Linked DNA regions of Neodiprion lecontei. The protein of the gene in region 1 purifies or fractionates together with the protein of each later gene. This does not show direct contact. Links are inferred from orthologs where the notes say so. Each region holds a gene or a part of one and is shown on either strand. Other genes may lie near its edges.

Evidence for each region.
Region 2: the proteins of ATP-dependent RNA helicase DHX8 (region 1) and nudC domain-containing protein 1 purify together in Homo sapiens (affinity purification with mass spectrometry; 3 studies listed by BioGRID and IntAct, counting the BioPlex papers as one, with this or other methods). This does not show direct contact. The link is inferred for Neodiprion lecontei from reciprocal best matches to the Homo sapiens genes DHX8 and NUDCD1.
Region 3: the proteins of ATP-dependent RNA helicase DHX8 (region 1) and peptidyl-prolyl cis-trans isomerase E purify together in Homo sapiens (affinity purification with mass spectrometry; 3 studies listed by BioGRID and IntAct, counting the BioPlex papers as one, with this or other methods). This does not show direct contact. The link is inferred for Neodiprion lecontei from reciprocal best matches to the Homo sapiens genes DHX8 and PPIE.

What each region holds. Positions count from the first base shown.
Region 1 is NC_060261.1:38,195,174-38,202,960, forward strand, and holds ATP-dependent RNA helicase DHX8, read left to right. Parts: upstream 1-1,672; 5' UTR 1,673-1,779; coding exon 1,780-1,879; intron 1,880-1,967; coding exon 1,968-2,053; intron 2,054-2,160; coding exon 2,161-2,967; intron 2,968-3,158; coding exon 3,159-3,400; intron 3,401-3,489; coding exon 3,490-3,794; intron 3,795-3,929; coding exon 3,930-4,359; intron 4,360-4,442; coding exon 4,443-4,701; intron 4,702-4,856; coding exon 4,857-5,347; intron 5,348-5,511; coding exon 5,512-5,844; intron 5,845-5,957; coding exon 5,958-6,161; intron 6,162-6,269; coding exon 6,270-6,450; intron 6,451-6,535; coding exon 6,536-6,757; 3' UTR 6,758-7,228; downstream 7,229-7,787. Other genes in the region: carboxy-terminal kinesin 2, read right to left, coding at 1-440.
Region 2 is NC_060260.1:33,101,087-33,106,168, reverse strand, and holds nudC domain-containing protein 1, read left to right. Parts: upstream 1-1,823; 5' UTR 1,824-1,853; coding exon 1,854-1,965; intron 1,966-2,070; exon of another isoform or gene 2,071-2,107; coding exon 2,108-3,101; exon of another isoform or gene 3,102-3,183; coding exon 3,184-3,545; intron 3,546-3,721; coding exon 3,722-3,927; 3' UTR 3,928-4,488; downstream 4,489-5,082. Other genes in the region: glutamate-rich WD repeat-containing protein 1, read right to left, coding at 1-111, 194-601, 725-1,227; cap-specific mRNA (nucleoside-2'-O-)-methyltransferase 1, read right to left, coding at 4,769-5,082.
Region 3 is NC_060262.1:20,670,168-20,674,266, forward strand, and holds peptidyl-prolyl cis-trans isomerase E, read right to left. Parts: upstream 2,121-4,099; coding exon 1,895-2,120; intron 1,622-1,894; coding exon 1,452-1,621; intron 1,366-1,451; coding exon 1,003-1,365; intron 890-1,002; coding exon 572-889; 3' UTR 507-571; downstream 1-506. Other genes in the region: dehydrogenase/reductase SDR family member 4, read left to right, coding at 52-222; 3-sulfolactaldehyde dehydrogenase, read left to right, coding at 2,351-3,871. UniProt on the Homo sapiens protein: Involved in pre-mRNA splicing as component of the spliceosome. Combines RNA-binding and PPIase activities.

The DNA.
Region 1 (7,787 bases):
GCTTTCGTGACTTCTGAGTTATTAGTTTTATTTGTAGTCGTAACAGTAGTATTTCTCATTACTTTTGACGTCGTGATTGGTTTTGGCGCAGGTTTGATGTTTGGTCTTTTATTTTCACTTGGTTCATTTGTAGTTCCAGGTCTCTTGATGGCAACTTTTGTGGTACCTGTACTTCTTGTGATTACTCCATGTGTTTTTGCTCTGACTAAGACAGGTTTTTGGGGCACTATTATTTCTGCTTTTATTTGCCCTGGAATATTATGCGTGCTTTTGTACTTTTTCGAATTCTGTGTGTCATTCTTAAGATTTTCATCTGATAGTGCTTTTACTAAATTCTTGTTTCTTTGAGAATGACCATTTACACTCTCTTCAGTATTTACATTCACAGTGTTAAGCCCCTTTCTTAACACTACCTTTGGCTTAGGTAATCGTGATTCCATCTACAAACATTCGGATAGGGATATCATTATTTTAAATAAACTTTGCAAATAACTAGTAAAGATGTGTTGATTTGGAAGGAATAGGAAAACTAGCTCAGCATAAAATTACGAATTGAACGATGTGTAACTGTGACTTGAAGCAAATCTCACCAATAATTTTGCTTTAGGTTAAATTTTATTTTTATCAGTAACAAATCAGATTGTCTAATTGAAAACGTGATTTTATAGGCGTCTTCTCTGTCGCATCAAAGCGTTGACTCGTGCTAGAGTTGTTTTTACTGAACGAGTAACGTTTGATTAATTATCGCCGAATCCTTTCTGCTTATTGCGTTATAATTTAAACTAAAATTACACCGACAACTCGCAAGGTATCGATAACATATCCATAACGAACATATCCAAAGTTCACTGCCTCAAATTTATTCAAATACATGACACGAAGTTAACAAACCTTTCTGCATGCGATCCACTAAAAATATTAGGCACCAAATTCACAAGACGCTGCCAATTATTCAGAGTATTATTCTATTCGTGCGAATATCATTCGAAAAGTGCGTGCCAGCAAGAAAGGATGATCACAGTACCTTTGTATGCATACGAAGCTAATATTATCAATTAAAAATTGCAAGAAAACTTAGCGTCGTAGACAGCCTATGATCAAAGATGTCTAACGTGAGTACGGAACGCGAGTACCGGACTTCAAATATCGGTTACGAGATTCAAACTTGTTTTTATATATATACTTATCCTAAATCCCTTTATTGAACCAATGAAAAACGGGCAAGTCTCACCCAGCCTATCAGAAAATTTTCGAATTTTCGATTCGATGCATTTTAAAAATCCAATAAAGAAGCGTATAAAACTACTAAAACTCTGTTATTGAACAATTTTATGACAATTTTCGGAATGCAGTTAGTCAAACATGAATCAGTATTTTTTTCCGCGAAAGTTTCATTCAGATTGATTGAAATAACTGAAAGACTTAAAAATCTCTGGTCATATGTAGCCACAATAAAGAATGTCGCGTCAGTATATCGTATGTAATAAATTTCTGATCGAAGTTATTCAACGAATAAAATAATAAGTTTGAAATCTCACTGATGCATTTTTCATTATTTATTTGATACCGTTGCCGATTAGCGCGATTAGTTAAATCAAGACTTCAGCAGTCACGGATGTTGAATTTCTATTATGGCATACGTCAGGCTCGTATAGCTTTTCATCTAGTCCCCACACTTACCGTTGGAGCCACGTAAAAATTCATCAATTCTAACCTCGAAGTGATGGGAGATTGGAATTGTGAATATTTTCCGATTTAATATTAATAACAGACGTAATAATGGACATGGATGAAGTTGCGAAACTGGAGCATTTGTCTCTTGTTTCAAAAATATGCACAGAATTAGAGAACCATTTAGGCTTAAATGATAAGGATTTGGGTAATACAACGACGCTTAACCTAACCTAATGTCAGAAACAAGCGTTCAGTGCAATGATTAATTCCAGTTTATTTATTTAACGTTTCAGCTGAATTTATTGTTGACCTGGCAGAAAAGAATAACAGTTTGGAGTCGTTCAAAAAAGTTCTCATCGAAAATGGGGCAGAATTCTCGGTAAGTTGGAAAATTGTATTCAAGATACCAGCATTTGATGTTATTTGTTTCATAATTTATTTCTCTTTTATGTACACGTGCTGTTGACCGTTATTTGCCAAATTCAGGACTCCTTCATGGCAAATCTTCTCAGGATTATACAACACATGAAACCGTCGAAACAGTTGAATGAAAAATCTCACGGTTCAAACCACAGACAGGATGACTTGTCGCTAAAGTTCCCCGGCCTGGCTATACCAAACGAGCATAAGAAACTCCAGCCTATCAAAGAGGAGAAGGATGAAGATGTGGTTAATGACACCATGGCTGCGCTAGAAGCCCTCGCTCCTTCAGGTTCAAAAACTCAACCCAATTCAAAAAAAGACCAAGAAGGACCTGTAGTTGAACCCCCTAATGACAAAAAAGACAAAGATAGAGATAGGAGAAAAAACAGATCGATAGATCGCAAGCGGGACAGATCAACATCACGTAATCATAGAGATAGAAAACACAGATCACGATCACGTGATCGGTCTAGATCTAGAGACAGAAATCGGAATCGAAGACGTCATGGATCAAGAGATCGAAAGAGGTCTAGATCAAGAGACGCACGTTCAAGATCCAGAAACAGACGTTCCAGATCACGTGATCGCAAGAACTATAAACGCAACAAACGGCATGAAACTGACCGCTCAAGATCACGTTCTGTAGAAGAACTTGCAGTTGATCCCGAAGTCGGAAAAATTTATACTGGAAAAGTTGCAAATATTGTTCAGTTTGGGTGTTTTGTGCAACTAGAAGGTTTAAAGCGCAGATGGGAGGGTTTGGTTCATATTTCACAACTTCGGCGTGAAGGTCGTGTTGCCAGTGCCAGTGACATTGTTTCAAGAGGCCAAAAAGTTTTGGTCAAAGTACTGAGTGTAGCTGCTCAAAAGGTGAGGAACATTTCTCACTATGCAAATCTAGAATGCATGTTCCAAGGGGAACAGTAAAGTTTAATGGCATGATATAAAAACCATATTCAAAGTGCTGTTACCATACATTGATGAATCCTGCAGCAGTCTGTTTGCACTAGGATGTACAAATTTTAGGAATGAAAAAACGGTTTAATCAATTCGTTTATCAGGTTTCTCTAAGCATGAAAGATGTTGACCAAGAGACTGGACGGGACTTGAATCCAGTTGTGAGCATTTCCAAGGCAGACGAGGATGAAAAACATTTACGAAATCCTGACAGACCAACATCTTTGCTAGAACTGCAAGGACATTTAGATGAGGACGAAACATATTCCAGGAAACGTGTGCAAAGATTATCCTCCCCTGAAAAATGGGAAATAAAACAAATGATGTCAGCAGCTTGTATCGAGAGGTATGCTTCAAATAAATACAACATCATGTTCTAACACTTGATTTATGCAATTATATATTCATTGTTTCATTTTTACTTTTATATGGTAGGAGTGAACTTCCAGAATTCGATATTGAAACTGGAATCTTGCCTCGTGAAGATGATGAAGAAGAAGATGTTGAAATTGAATTGGTAGAAGAGGAACCACCATTTTTACATGGGCATGGTAGAGCTCTTGGTGATTTGAGTCCTGTTCGGATTGTAAAGAATCCTGATGGATCGTTGGCACAGGCTGCTATGATGCAAAGCGCTCTGGCAAAAGAGAGACGAGAACAGAAAATGCTGCAAAGAGAGCAAGAAATGGATTCAATACCTGCAGGACTGAACAAAAATTGGATTGATCCTTTACCTGATGGTAAAACTATAACTTTCAGTGAATTTTAGTTTAAATATTTGCTTTTAGTTCAAAATTACTTACACTAGGCACAAATTATATTTTTTAAACGAAATGGTATTATGACTCGAAAACATATTAATTTGTTTATTTCAGCGGAAAGTCGGACTTTAGCTGCAAACATGCGTGGCATAGGATTACAGACACAAGACCTCCCCGAATGGAAAAAACACGTCATTGGTGGTAAAAAATCGTCATTTGGTAAGAAAACCAACTTAACACTGTTGGAACAGAGACAGAGCTTACCAATTTACAAGCTCAGAGACGAACTGGTGAAAGCAGTAACAGATAATCAAATTCTTATCGTCATTGGCGAAACCGGATCTGGTAAAACAACACAAATTACTCAATATCTTGCGGAAGCTGGTTTCACATCACGAGGTAAAATAGGATGCACGCAGCCGAGAAGAGTAGCGGCAATGTCTGTTGCTAAAAGAGTTGCCGAGGAATTTGGTTGTAGATTAGGACAGGAAGTCGGATATACAATACGTTTTGAAGACTGCACTAGCCCTGAAACCAGCATAAAGTATGTTTGAAGATTTTGTATTTTTCTTACATTTGAAAACTTATTTAAAATGCGAAATTTCACCTCATTTTATTGTAATATAGGTACATGACAGATGGTATGTTACTCCGAGAGTGCCTCATGGACCTTGATTTGAAAATGTATTCTGTTATAATGTTGGACGAGGCACATGAGCGTACTATCCACACAGACGTACTCTTTGGTTTATTGAAACAAGCTGTAGGTCGACGGCCAGATTTGAAGCTCATCGTCACTAGTGCTACTCTCGATGCTGTTAAGTTTTCACAATACTTCTTTGAAGCACCGATATTTACAATTCCTGGGCGGACATTTCCTGTTGAAGTAAGATTAAATCGTCAATAATTTTGAAATAAAAATTACAGTAGCATTGACCAATGTAGTTTTCGATAGATTGAATTAAATTTTTCATTGAGTACTCCAAACTCATCACAAACCTTAAAATGTAATTTGACCATATCTTTATTATCGATTTTTAGGTGATGTACACAAAAGAACCAGAGACAGATTATTTAGATGCTGCTTTAATAACTGTGATGCAGATTCACTTACGCGAACCGCCTGGAGATGTTTTGTTATTTTTAACTGGGCAGGAAGAAATTGATACTGCTTGTGAAATTTTATATGAAAGAATGAAATCTCTCGGCCCAGATGTGCCAGAGTTGATCATTTTACCAGTTTACTCTGCACTACCCTCCGAAATGCAAACAAGAATATTTGAACCTGCCCCACCTGGATCCAGAAAAGTTGTTATAGCGACAAATATTGCGGAAACGAGCCTCACGATCGATGGTATATACTACGTCGTTGATCCGGGTTTTGTTAAGCAAAAAGTGTATAATTCTAAGACTGGAATGGACAGTCTTATTGTCACGCCCATTAGTCAAGCAGCTGCTAAACAGAGAGCTGGCAGAGCTGGGAGGACCGGTCCTGGAAAATGTTATAGATTATACACAGAAAGAGCTTACAGGTAACGAACATCATTTTATTGTAGTTTTAGTGAGTTTTCAATTAAAAATATGGTTTTTCCTTGTAACTGAGAATTGTCTTTCCAACTTTTTTACGTTTTCCTTAGCAAAATATTGAATGTTGACAAAGTTTTGGCAATAGATTGTAACTATCTATTCTGTGTAGGGATGAAATGTTGCCAACACCAGTGCCCGAAATTCAGCGAACGAATTTAGCAACGACAGTTTTACAGTTAAAAACCATGGGAATTAATGATCTCTTACACTTTGACTTCATGGATGCCCCACCTGTTGAATCTTTGATTATGGCATTAGAATCCTTGCACAGCTTGAGTGCTCTTGACAATGAAGGGTTATTGACAAGACTGGGAAGGCGGATGGCTGAATTTCCACTAGAACCGAATTTATCCAAAATGCTAATTATGAGCGTCCACTTGCAATGCTCAGACGAAATTCTTACCATTGTCAGCATGCTTTCAGTACAGAACGTTTTCTACAGGTAAAATCAGTTATTCGGAATATATGTCTATTTTCCGATTCTTCTGATATTATAACTTACGAGTTTGTATAGTCATACGTTCGGAAATTAAATACTTTTTTTCTGATTTCTAGACCAAAAGATAAACAAGCACTTGCAGACCAAAAGAAGGCAAAGTTCAACCAGGCAGAAGGCGATCATTTGACATTATTAGCAGTGTACAATTCCTGGCGAAATAATAAATTCAGTAATGCTTGGTGCTACGAAAATTTCGTACAAATAAGGACTCTGAAAAGAGCTCAAGATGTTCGCAAACAGCTGCTAGGTATAATGGACAGGTAAGTAATAAATATTTTACTTATATTTACAAGCAACTGTTAAAATGTCTGAAAAATTGAGCAAAAAATATTTGCAGTACAATTGCATTGTTTATTACCATTTTCTAGGCACAAATTGGATGTGGTGTCTGCTGCAAAAAATACAGTGAGAGTACAAAAAACTGTATGTTCTGGATTCTTCAGAAACGCGGCGAAAAAAGATCCTCAAGAAGGATACAGAACACTAGTTGATAGCCAAGTTGTTTACATTCATCCAAGTAGCGCGTTATTCAATCGGCAACCTGAATGGGTACATAGTATTGATATTAAATGCTCTTGAACTCATCATTATTGTAAGAAATAGATAGCCAAAAATTGATTTACTGATATTCCAGGTGATTTACCACGAACTTGTCCAAACGACAAAAGAATATATGCGAGAGGTTACGACGATTGATCCGAAGTGGCTGGTCGAATTTGCACCGGCATTTTTCAAATTCAGTGATCCTACGAAATTGAGTAAATTCAAGAAGAATCAACGATTAGAACCATTATACAACAAATACGAAGAACCTAATGCATGGCGTATATCCAGAGTTCGACGGCGTAGAAATTAGACTGAATATTCATATCTTGAAGCTATCAATCATACATATTATGTTCTCATCTTGAAATGTTACCATTGCTGCAATAAACCACAAACGGTTTGTCTCCATTGCTTGGTTAGTATTATATAAAAATTTCTTGGTTGCTATTAACACCATTTGACGAAGCGAAAAACTGCTTCCAACATTATGTCACTGTAATGTAGAACAATTATTTAATTTTTAATGTAAATTTACGACCACGTATTGCAGATGAAGTTAACTTTGTGAGAAACACAACGGATTGGGACATGTTGATTCAAATAATGGGAAGAGTATAAAACTTTCAAGTCATTCTCAATTTTTGTGATAAATTGATGGTATCCAATCAGCCCTGGATAATTTTATGTACAGGACACATAAGAAAATATGTGTCATTAACAGGATAAGATTATACATGGACAAATCAAAATAAATTTACCTATTGTGTATGTGTTGTATAAATATTATACTGTTCAATATTTTTACTTATGATTTAATTGTACATTCTTGCACAAATCAACAATAATCTTGGCCACATAATGGTGTGCCCTGTGAGAGGGATGTCAAATGGTGCGGAAGAAAGTCATCAGAAATACATTAGAAGCACACGAAATAAGCCAAGTACGTAACATTTGAGTCCGTCTTTGCACGCTTTGAAATTAACAATTTACTGCTAGCTATTAGTACTTGCCTAAAATGTGATTGTGACAGACGATGTTACTGACAAAAAAATTGCAACATTAAAAAGTCTCGAATATGAAAGTGAAAAACGTAAACGTTTCTCAGTAACAGAACATCTTATTAAAAACAACTGCACACCAAAGGTAAGAATGAATCAAGTAAGTAACTTTCATTGTAGCATCTGATTGAAGAAACAAAGAATGTATTGAAATCAGTACATTTTTCAAGTTGTCGGACTTCGCCAGACGGATAACAATTTTGATGAGTCGTTGCACTTTAATATACAGCAATTTATAAAGGTGCTGTCTAATGATTTGAACTGTTATTGTAATTTTTAAAT
Region 2 (5,082 bases), on another chromosome or scaffold:
CGCGATTCTTTTCTGTTCCACGAGATTACATTTACATCAGCTGTGTGTGCCTCACCTGCTGTCAGCATGCACGCTGCCTGAGGACTTGCTCTTGTGTCCCAAATTTTTATACTGAAGACAATAATTCGGTCAAAAATTTTGTCAAAATTAACTAAGAATAAGGTCACGGAATATACTTGAGCATATATCAAACCTTTTATCGACGGAACATGAGGCAAGCACATGCCTTTCGTTTGGGGACCATTGGAGATCCTCAACACTATGTGGAGCATGGGAATTATAAGGCCTTTGATCTACAAGCCAGTCTTCACCACTGCTGCTATTATTGTGATGCCAGATGTGAATGTTGCCTTTACAATCACCCGATGCCAGAGTTCCTTCTTCGGTAGGACACCAGTCCAAGCCATATCCTTCCTGCAGGTGTCCTTTGAATGTAAATATTGGTTTGGCTCCATCATTGCCTTGGTCATTTCGCTTACGGTAATTACTCAGCAACAAGGGATCGTCTACTGCTCTCAGCTGCTCGTTCAAATCCCAAAGAGATACACGACCCAGTTCACTCCAACTTGCAGCAAAGACTTTGTTCCGCACTTGCGTACATCTGTGACAAACAGTGTTAAACTCTGTGGATAGGAAACTCAACTCAATGCTCCTAATTATTGTGTCAGAATTTTTCTACGGAAAACTAGTTCAACCATATCATTAGACAGAGCACAATGCTTACCTCACTCTATTCACACAGCCCTGATGTTTTATAGAAGCAACTGTCATAACAGGAGCTCGAGCTTCGTCTTCATCGTCATCGTCATCTGAATCAGACTCGTCAGATTCCTCATTGTTACGAGCAGTGCCATGCAGGTTAGACATTTTCATGACAAGTAGGTTATTGACATGTGTTCTTGCAGCTTGCGTACCAGCTAGCATGTACATTGACATGGGATATGTCTCCCGTGAGATACCGAGGTCATCCCTGATAATGTCAAAGCTTAGACACGGAGCCCCTGTTTGAGCTTGATGTAACATTCTATATGCTGAATGATCTACTACCAATTCTTCTCCTTTTTCTAGTGGCTGTCCTGGCAAGTAAATTTTACTTTTTTTCTCTGTATCATTATCGTCTTCTGCTTCCATATCTTCATCTTCCGCTTCGTCATCGTCATCATCATCTCCATCATCTTCTGCTTCTCTATCGTCAACTTCTATCATCGCTTCTTCTGCAGGATCCATTACTTTTTTTTTTTGTAGAAAAAAAAAATTCACATAGATATAAAGGTGCACGAATTATTACTGATAGACGAACATACAGTAAAGAAAAATCAAAGATGTATAACGATATCTATTTGTCGTCAGGACACATGTGTTACTCCAAAGTATCTTTCAAGGAAAATTTTGGAATACAGCCTGTCACTTAATATTCCATGCGTAATGAAATAGAACAACTATCGAGTATAACGTATTTCCAGTCTAAATACGATTACGAATCTCTCTCTTGAAAATCCATCGCACGCTAACTGGGACTTACCTAACCTCGAATAAAGTGGCTCTGTATAAATTTATCGAGGAATGATATCTCTCTGAATGATATGAACCTGTCCAAGCAATCATCTGAATGAGCGCTTTCCCGAAAATTTTACATTATATCTCTGCTTTTCATTTATATACTTACTAATGTTTCAACCTTAAGGAAAGTCCGGTACGCCGTACACACTGATGAAAGAAATTAGGTTAGGGTATGTATCACGCCTGAAGACGCGCGACGACGCAACGTCAGTGTAGATGCGAATTACCAAGTCGTAGATTCAAGTGATATTAATGAATAAACAGTTTTGAGACGCAAATAAGCACTTGCTCCGATGCCTGATATCATAGAACTACGACCAGACAAGGGTCTTTTGTACCCCAACTTTGAAAAATATCAATTTCTCGACGAGCCAATACTTATTCTAGAAAAAGATCTGGAGACAGGTAAACAATCAACACTACGGAAGATTGGCTGTCAGATTTTCAACATGTATCGACTAAAAGTTTTGGATTTATTATTAATTGTTTAATTAACGATGTAAAAGAAACCTTGGCCTTCATATGACTGTGCTGCCTGTTATTTCAGAGGTGCTGCGAGTCGAACCCAGTAGTTCTCAAGATTCCTGGCTTGAAGCAAGGTCTTTCGCTTACCATAATCATTTGTACAAAAATCCGTTTAATGGCAAGTGTTATTTCGTCAACAAAGATAATGAATTATGGAAAATGGATACAAATGGTTTTTTAGAGTTGGTACATACCCTGACCAAATTCTCAATTGAATCTGGTGCCCCGGTGTATAATCCATCACTGAGTTTTGCTTCAGAAGACATCATAGTTGGCTGCAATGGGTGTAAAAATTTGGAAATAATTATTAAAAATGACTCACAACCCTTGTTAACATTCGTGTTTGAGGATATAGATGCTGGTATAATATTAGATTCAGTCTACGTTGAAGATAAATCAATAATCAACGTTGTAATGTGCTTTATAACTGAAATTGACAGCAAAAAACATTCTGAAGTTGTTTTGTATACATATTCTTCACCAGCTATTGATACAGTGGGTTCAGAACCTTCATCGCTGGATGTTAAATTTATTGGAAAGAGGATCTTGAGGGTGAAGGGAGCTGTTGAGTATGCTAATTTAGAATCAAACGGAAATTATTTACACTTAATGAGTCAAGACTCTGCTACCTTTGTTTACGATTCTTTAAGACCAGTGAATAAGGAAATTCCAACTGAAGGCAATCAAGAGATTAATATCCCAAAATACTGCTGGTCTCAGGATGAAGATTCACTTACTATTTGGTTGAAAGTTTTCGATGGCATTGATAAGAGTCAAATTAAAGTTGAGGTCAAGCCTAATAATATTGTCATAAAATATGAAGATCAGATATTGATGGCTGGGGAAAGTGGGCATAGATTGGATCCAGATTTAACAACTTGGTCACATGAGAAAGATTCGCTAAAAATAGATTTATTCAAAAATGAGACAGGGTTAATGTGGAATGAGCTGATTAAAGGGGACACTGGCGGTGAATGCTTACCAAATGAGGCTCTAGCAGCCGAAGTTCACAGCAGGTAGGTCTCCAGGGATATCGTTTATCATTTGTAAATATTCCTGAACATTAATTTTTTTGTTTTTAATATGAATCCATCCCAGATTAGCCTATTTATGCACTGAAGAGCCAGGAACCGGAGTTGGGCATCCAATGTTGGGATTCAACTCAGAGCAGCTAGAAGAATGTGATATTCAAGAGAGAGAAAATCAATTCCAAAGAATTAATATAGACTCTCACAAGACTACTCATTTAGTAATTTTAGGTGCAAATAACCGCGTTTTGTTCACACAAAGAGTCAAACACGGCCAGCTCTTGTGTTTGAGACATGATCATGATGGCTGCGTTTGGGTTGCTGGTGAAAGTAATGACGAACATTGGAGATTGAAGCATATTTCTACATTTCCTGGATTTGGATACGTAGAGGCAAGCAAGACTAACAAAAAGTTTTGCGTCTCTCCCCCTAGTAAGTCTGATTGTGAGCTTAATATCTGTTGTAAATTTATTCCAGTTCTTAGCAGTGTCTCATCTCACCCTAGCCTGTTATTTCATACATTTAATGTCTCAGTCTCACTTTCTTTTTTTGCCAGATTTTTAAGCCATTACTTCATTATTCGTTTGAGAAAAACATCATTTTTGCAGATGGGTCGTACGTAGCTATAGTAGAGCATGCAAGACATGTTTTTCTGTATGAAAAACCAGTTGGAAACTCAAAAATAGGACATCAACGCATTGTAGATTTGGGGTGTGAAGTGCAAGCCAATCCTGTTTTGGGTGCTGCAGCTTCAAATCGTTATCTGTATTTATTGACCAAGAATAAATTGTACCAATTGCAGATGAATCCTTAGATGTATTTAGCTTACATTTTAACTCAATGGCAGTGAAAGCACCAGTTTTTGTAAAAAATATACCAAACGTTGAAATGTGAATAACGTATTCATGTTGTATGTTTTTTTACATTTTATGGCAAAGAAACAGGATATACAAAGAATATTCTTGTTTGACAAGTAATCTCTGGATGATGTTGAATTTGAATGTGTCAAGAACAATGAAAGAAAGTCATGTAATATTAAATAATAATTACAAATTTATTTTGCAATATAATTGATTGAGAAAAATAAATATCTTTTTTACTGTATGTGAAAATAACTGAAAGGTAGAATAACAACAGCAAATCCTTACAATTAAAAGCAGAATAGTTATTTGAATATCTCTACCCTTGAAACCGAGAATGATTTGTAAATAGTTGCTACTATGCACCACATATTAAGGAGTCTCATTCATTTCAAAGTTTTCATCAATTTAAACTAATAAATTTCAACAACATCATCAATTTTGACTGTTTTCAAAATATAGTAGCCAATCTTACTAGATACAAGTTACATTCATTTGATCCTTTTCATCAATCAGTTTACATAAAAAATAAATTCAGCATCATAGTCAGTTTTCGTAAGATGAACAATACGATTGAGTTCAAATGATCAGATTAATAGTAGTCATCTAGCATTACCTATTTTGTCCGATAACATTAAAATAAGAAAATTGGTTTGGGTACAGCGCACAAACTATTTTGCGTTACACCAAGGTTCGAACTGATCAATCACAACACTCAAATATACCATCACAAATATTTCAAATTTATATATTCCAATCATCCAACAGGATTCAATGTATTTCGTAGGTGCAATCTTATGGCGGGCGATGCTTAGCTTTGAGTAAATCTATTAGATTGTTTCTAGTCAAGTCCTGAGAAGGTGGCCAATACCAAACAAGTCGTTCAGAGAAACTTTCGCAGAAGCTAGCAATGGCATCGGCTGGTCTCTCGTAGTCATACTTTGTTTCTTTTGATTTTGGATTGTAATAATACTTGTGTCCGCTCGATCGACTTACATGGCAATGCCAGGGATTTGCAGTACCTTTGAAAAATAGAATGCTATTCATAACAAAGTAATAAGGGTCGTCTCTACTATTTTCGTTCAAATTACTGCCGATCAAGGGTGCAT
Region 3 (4,099 bases), on another chromosome or scaffold:
AAATTTGTACATCTCGTGAACAATGTATAAATTTATGGTCAAAATTTATAGCTCTATGAATCCGAGGCAGCACATGACTTGGCCATGTCAAAAATCCCTCTGCAAAGATTAGGAACTACAGACGAAATAGCAGGAATCGCAGCTTTCTTAGCGAGTGAGGACGCATCTTACATTACTGGTGAAACTATCGTCGGAGCTGGTGGCATGTTATCAAGACTCTGAGAAGTCTACATCAAATATCAACAATATAAATTTTGCATTGTCTGACTCAACACCCCAGAGTCCATATTATTCACAGGTAATTTTTCAGAAACAATTTTAGAAAAAAATAATGATAACATTTACAAAAATACATTTGTTACATGCTTTTCCCCGAATTATCAAAGTTAACAAGGATTCTTTCTTTGTATGCTTGGCTTCATATTATGCATTATATATTATGTATTGATGAGAGTGCTCATTATCATCGCTATTTTATCGGCTAAAAAATTGGGATACTCTTTGAATTTATACAATGTATTATAGAGTTTATTAGAAAGCTATAATAAAATAACATTTTTTTATCAGTTAATTATGTCAGCTCGCCACAAGCTGTGATGACCACTTTTTGAGTAGGGGTACCTCCTTTGGTTCCACATTTTTCCATTTTTTTTAATACATCTAATCCACTAAGAACGTGACCAAATACGACATGCTTTCCATCAAGCCAGTCCGTACGTGCCGTGCACATAAAAAATTGAGAACCGTTTGTATTAGGGCCTGAATTTGCCATTGACAAGGTCCCAGGACCCGTATGTTTGAGCTCAAAGTTCTCGTCGTCAAATTTATTTCCATATATAGACTTCCCTCCAGTTCCATTATGGTTTGTGAAATCTCCACCTTGGCACATCTGTTTTATAAAAATATTAGTTTAGGAAAAAACCTTTTGTTTTTTCTTTTGATTGGTGTCTGGCTTGAAAAAAAATATGGGGTGTTTCAACCGACACTCAAAGTCAAGGATACGAAATCTGGAATGATTCTGTGGAAAGTGCTGCCCTGATATCCATATCCTTTTTCATGTGTGCAGAGGCAACGAAAATTTTCTGCAGTTTTGGGAACAATATCAGCTCTAAGCATCATGATGATTCTGCCCAGCTCCTGTTTTCCTATACTGACATCAAAGTAGACCTGAGGATTTTGCTTTCCTTTTTTTGCTGGAGGTCCGCTATCAACTTTTGCCGTAGAGTCATCAGTTTCTAGTGTCTCTCCAGCATGTTCCTGGAGCCAAGTATCATCTGCCCAAACTGGCTTAGATGAACCCTCCTTTATCTTTTGCGGTTTGGCTATGTTTACTCTTATGGTTCTGCCAAAAAGCTCAGAGTCATTCTAGTGAATGAAAAACACAAGAATAATAAATTTATTAATTTGTCTCTCACTGCCTCTGATTATATCGTTTATTAGTCTTTTTGTACCATATTGTCAATTGCTGAGGCAGCATCCTCAGCAATTTCAAACTCTATGAATGCAAATCCTCGGTGCTTCTCAGATTCGTAATCTAGTGGTATTTGAACATCGACGATTTCTCCGAATGGTATAAACGCGGCGTGAAGCACCTTTTCGTCTACTTCCTCAGCCAACCCACCTACGTACAATTACATTGGTCGCAGGAACATTGAGGAAAAACAACTTACACTATTAACCTAACCTATTATAAATTCATATCTTTATTTCCTCAATTATATGATATTTGAACATCAAGTGAATGATTAACCGAAGAAAAAAATAACTCGGGTAGTGGAAAAATAGAAACAGACAAGATAATTAGTACCTTCGAGAAAATACAGAAATCGAGCGAGAATAATTGAGGTTAGTTTCATTCAATCCAGTGATTATAAAAATACAAGGCGAATCATACCGACATATATAGTCCTCTTCGCGTTGTTACTCATTTTACAATCGAGATCAATCTGTCGTCTGCAGATAAAAGTCAAACAACAACGTGTTAATAAAATTCGTTCGTAAACATTGTCTGACGCCGGTAAGACGCACTGAGTGTTGTCAACAAGTCGCACTGCTTGTCGCGCAATTACAAGCCGTCGCCATGCAAAGCGATCATTAAAATTCGATTCCAGTAAGACCATATCAATCCGAACTGGTGTCGAGTTCCGAGAGTAGACTCGGTAGAATCATGCTGGCGGCTTATTAGTACGAGCAAGGCTGTCCTCTTTTATGCAGTTATAAGCGTCAGTGCTTCGAAATTCGAGATTCGAACCCGGTCGATCGTTTGGGGTTCATAGCGTTTTTAGAGGGATTACGTAACCCGACGAATCTGTCTCATCATAATAATCCGATAACCGGGTAACAGTTAAACATGTTTTCCCTAATGCGATACAGTCAGTGGCAACATTGTTGCAGGCGTGCACTGAGCATGCTGCGAAACCAAGCCTACGTTGGCGGCGAATGGCGAAATGCCGGTAGCGGCGAGACATTTGAGGTGCTGAATCCCTTCGACGGTTCGGTAGTCGGCAGAGTCCCGGACATGAGCGAGTCGGACGTGAAGCTTGCTGTGGATACAGCGCAGCGAGCCTTCACCGTGGGGGAGTTCAGCAACACGACGGCGAAGGAACGGAGCGACTTGCTGCGCGGGTGGTATAACCTGATGGTGAAGCATGCGGAGGACCTGGCGCAGATAATGACCATGGAGAGCGGCAAGTCCCTCGCGGAGTCGCGGGGCGAGGTAAAGTACGGTAATTCGTTCGTAGAGTGGTTTGCTGAGGAAGCACGTCGCGTCAATGGTGAGGTGATCCAATCGCCAGTGCGCGGTAGAGAGGTCCTATTGCTCAAGCAGCCTGTTGGTGTTGCGGCTCTCATCACTCCGTGGAACTTTCCGCATGCTATGATCACCCGAAAGGCTGGAGCAGCATTGGCTGTTGGTTGTACTTGTGTCGTTAAGCCTTCTGAAGAGACTCCGCTGACCGCTCTGGCGCTCGCTAATCTGGCAGAACAGGCTGGGTTTCCAGCTGGCGTCTTCAACGTTGTCACAACCAGTCCCAAGAACTCTGCGGCTGTTGGGAAGCTCTTGTGCGAGGATGCGAGGGTCAGGGTGATGTCTTTCACAGGCTCAACAGCTGTCGGGAAGATCCTCTACAGACAGTGCGCATCGACAATTAAACGGCTAAGTCTTGAGCTCGGGGGAAACGCTCCATTCGTTGTCTTTGAATCAGCTGACATTGACCTCGCTGTTGCTGGTGCAATGGCCAGCAAATTTCGCAACACAGGACAGACTTGCGTTTCTGCTAACAGGTTCTTTGTTCATGAGAATGTGCATACTGAATTTGTCGATAAATTTGTTTCTAAAATTAACTCTGATATCAAGATGGGCGATGGAAGTCGAGAAGGGATTACCAATGGCCCACTGATCAAAGAGTCACAACTCAAGATGGTCTCTGACCTGGTCAATGATGCCCTTACAAAAGGAGCGAAGCTCCACTGTGGAGGCAAGCCTTTACCTGAATTAGGCCCTCTTTTCTATGGCCCAACTGTCCTTACGCGTGTCACCAAAGGAATGCAAATTTACAACAAAGAAATTTTTGGCCCTGTCGCTGTTATAAACAAATTTTCAAGCGAGGAAGAAGTTCTTAGGGAGGCAAATAATACACCTGTCGGTCTTGCAGGGTATTTTTACTCCAAGGATATATCACAGGTTTTCAGAGTCGCAAGGAAACTGGAAGTAGGCATGGTTGGGGTAAACGAAGGGCTTATTTCGTGTACAGAAGCTGCATTTGGTGGCATCAAGGAATCTGGACTGGGAAGAGAGGGTTCTCACCATGGGATCGACGACTTTGTAGATGTAAAGTACGTCTGCATAGGAAACGTTGCCTATCAGTCATGAAAGTTATCTTAAGCACCTTGTGAGCATTCCTCAATGAGTCCAGACACTATGAGAACGCGACACATTCACATACTTAATTCGATGTCAATTTGCAATATCTACAAAAAAGATCGATCTCAGGGCTAGAGCTTTCAAGAAAGACAGAAAAAAAAGAACAAGAAAAAATGTCAGTCTTTGGAAGGCAAGCTTTCGATGATTTTATTCTTAGACAATAAGACAGAGTTAATG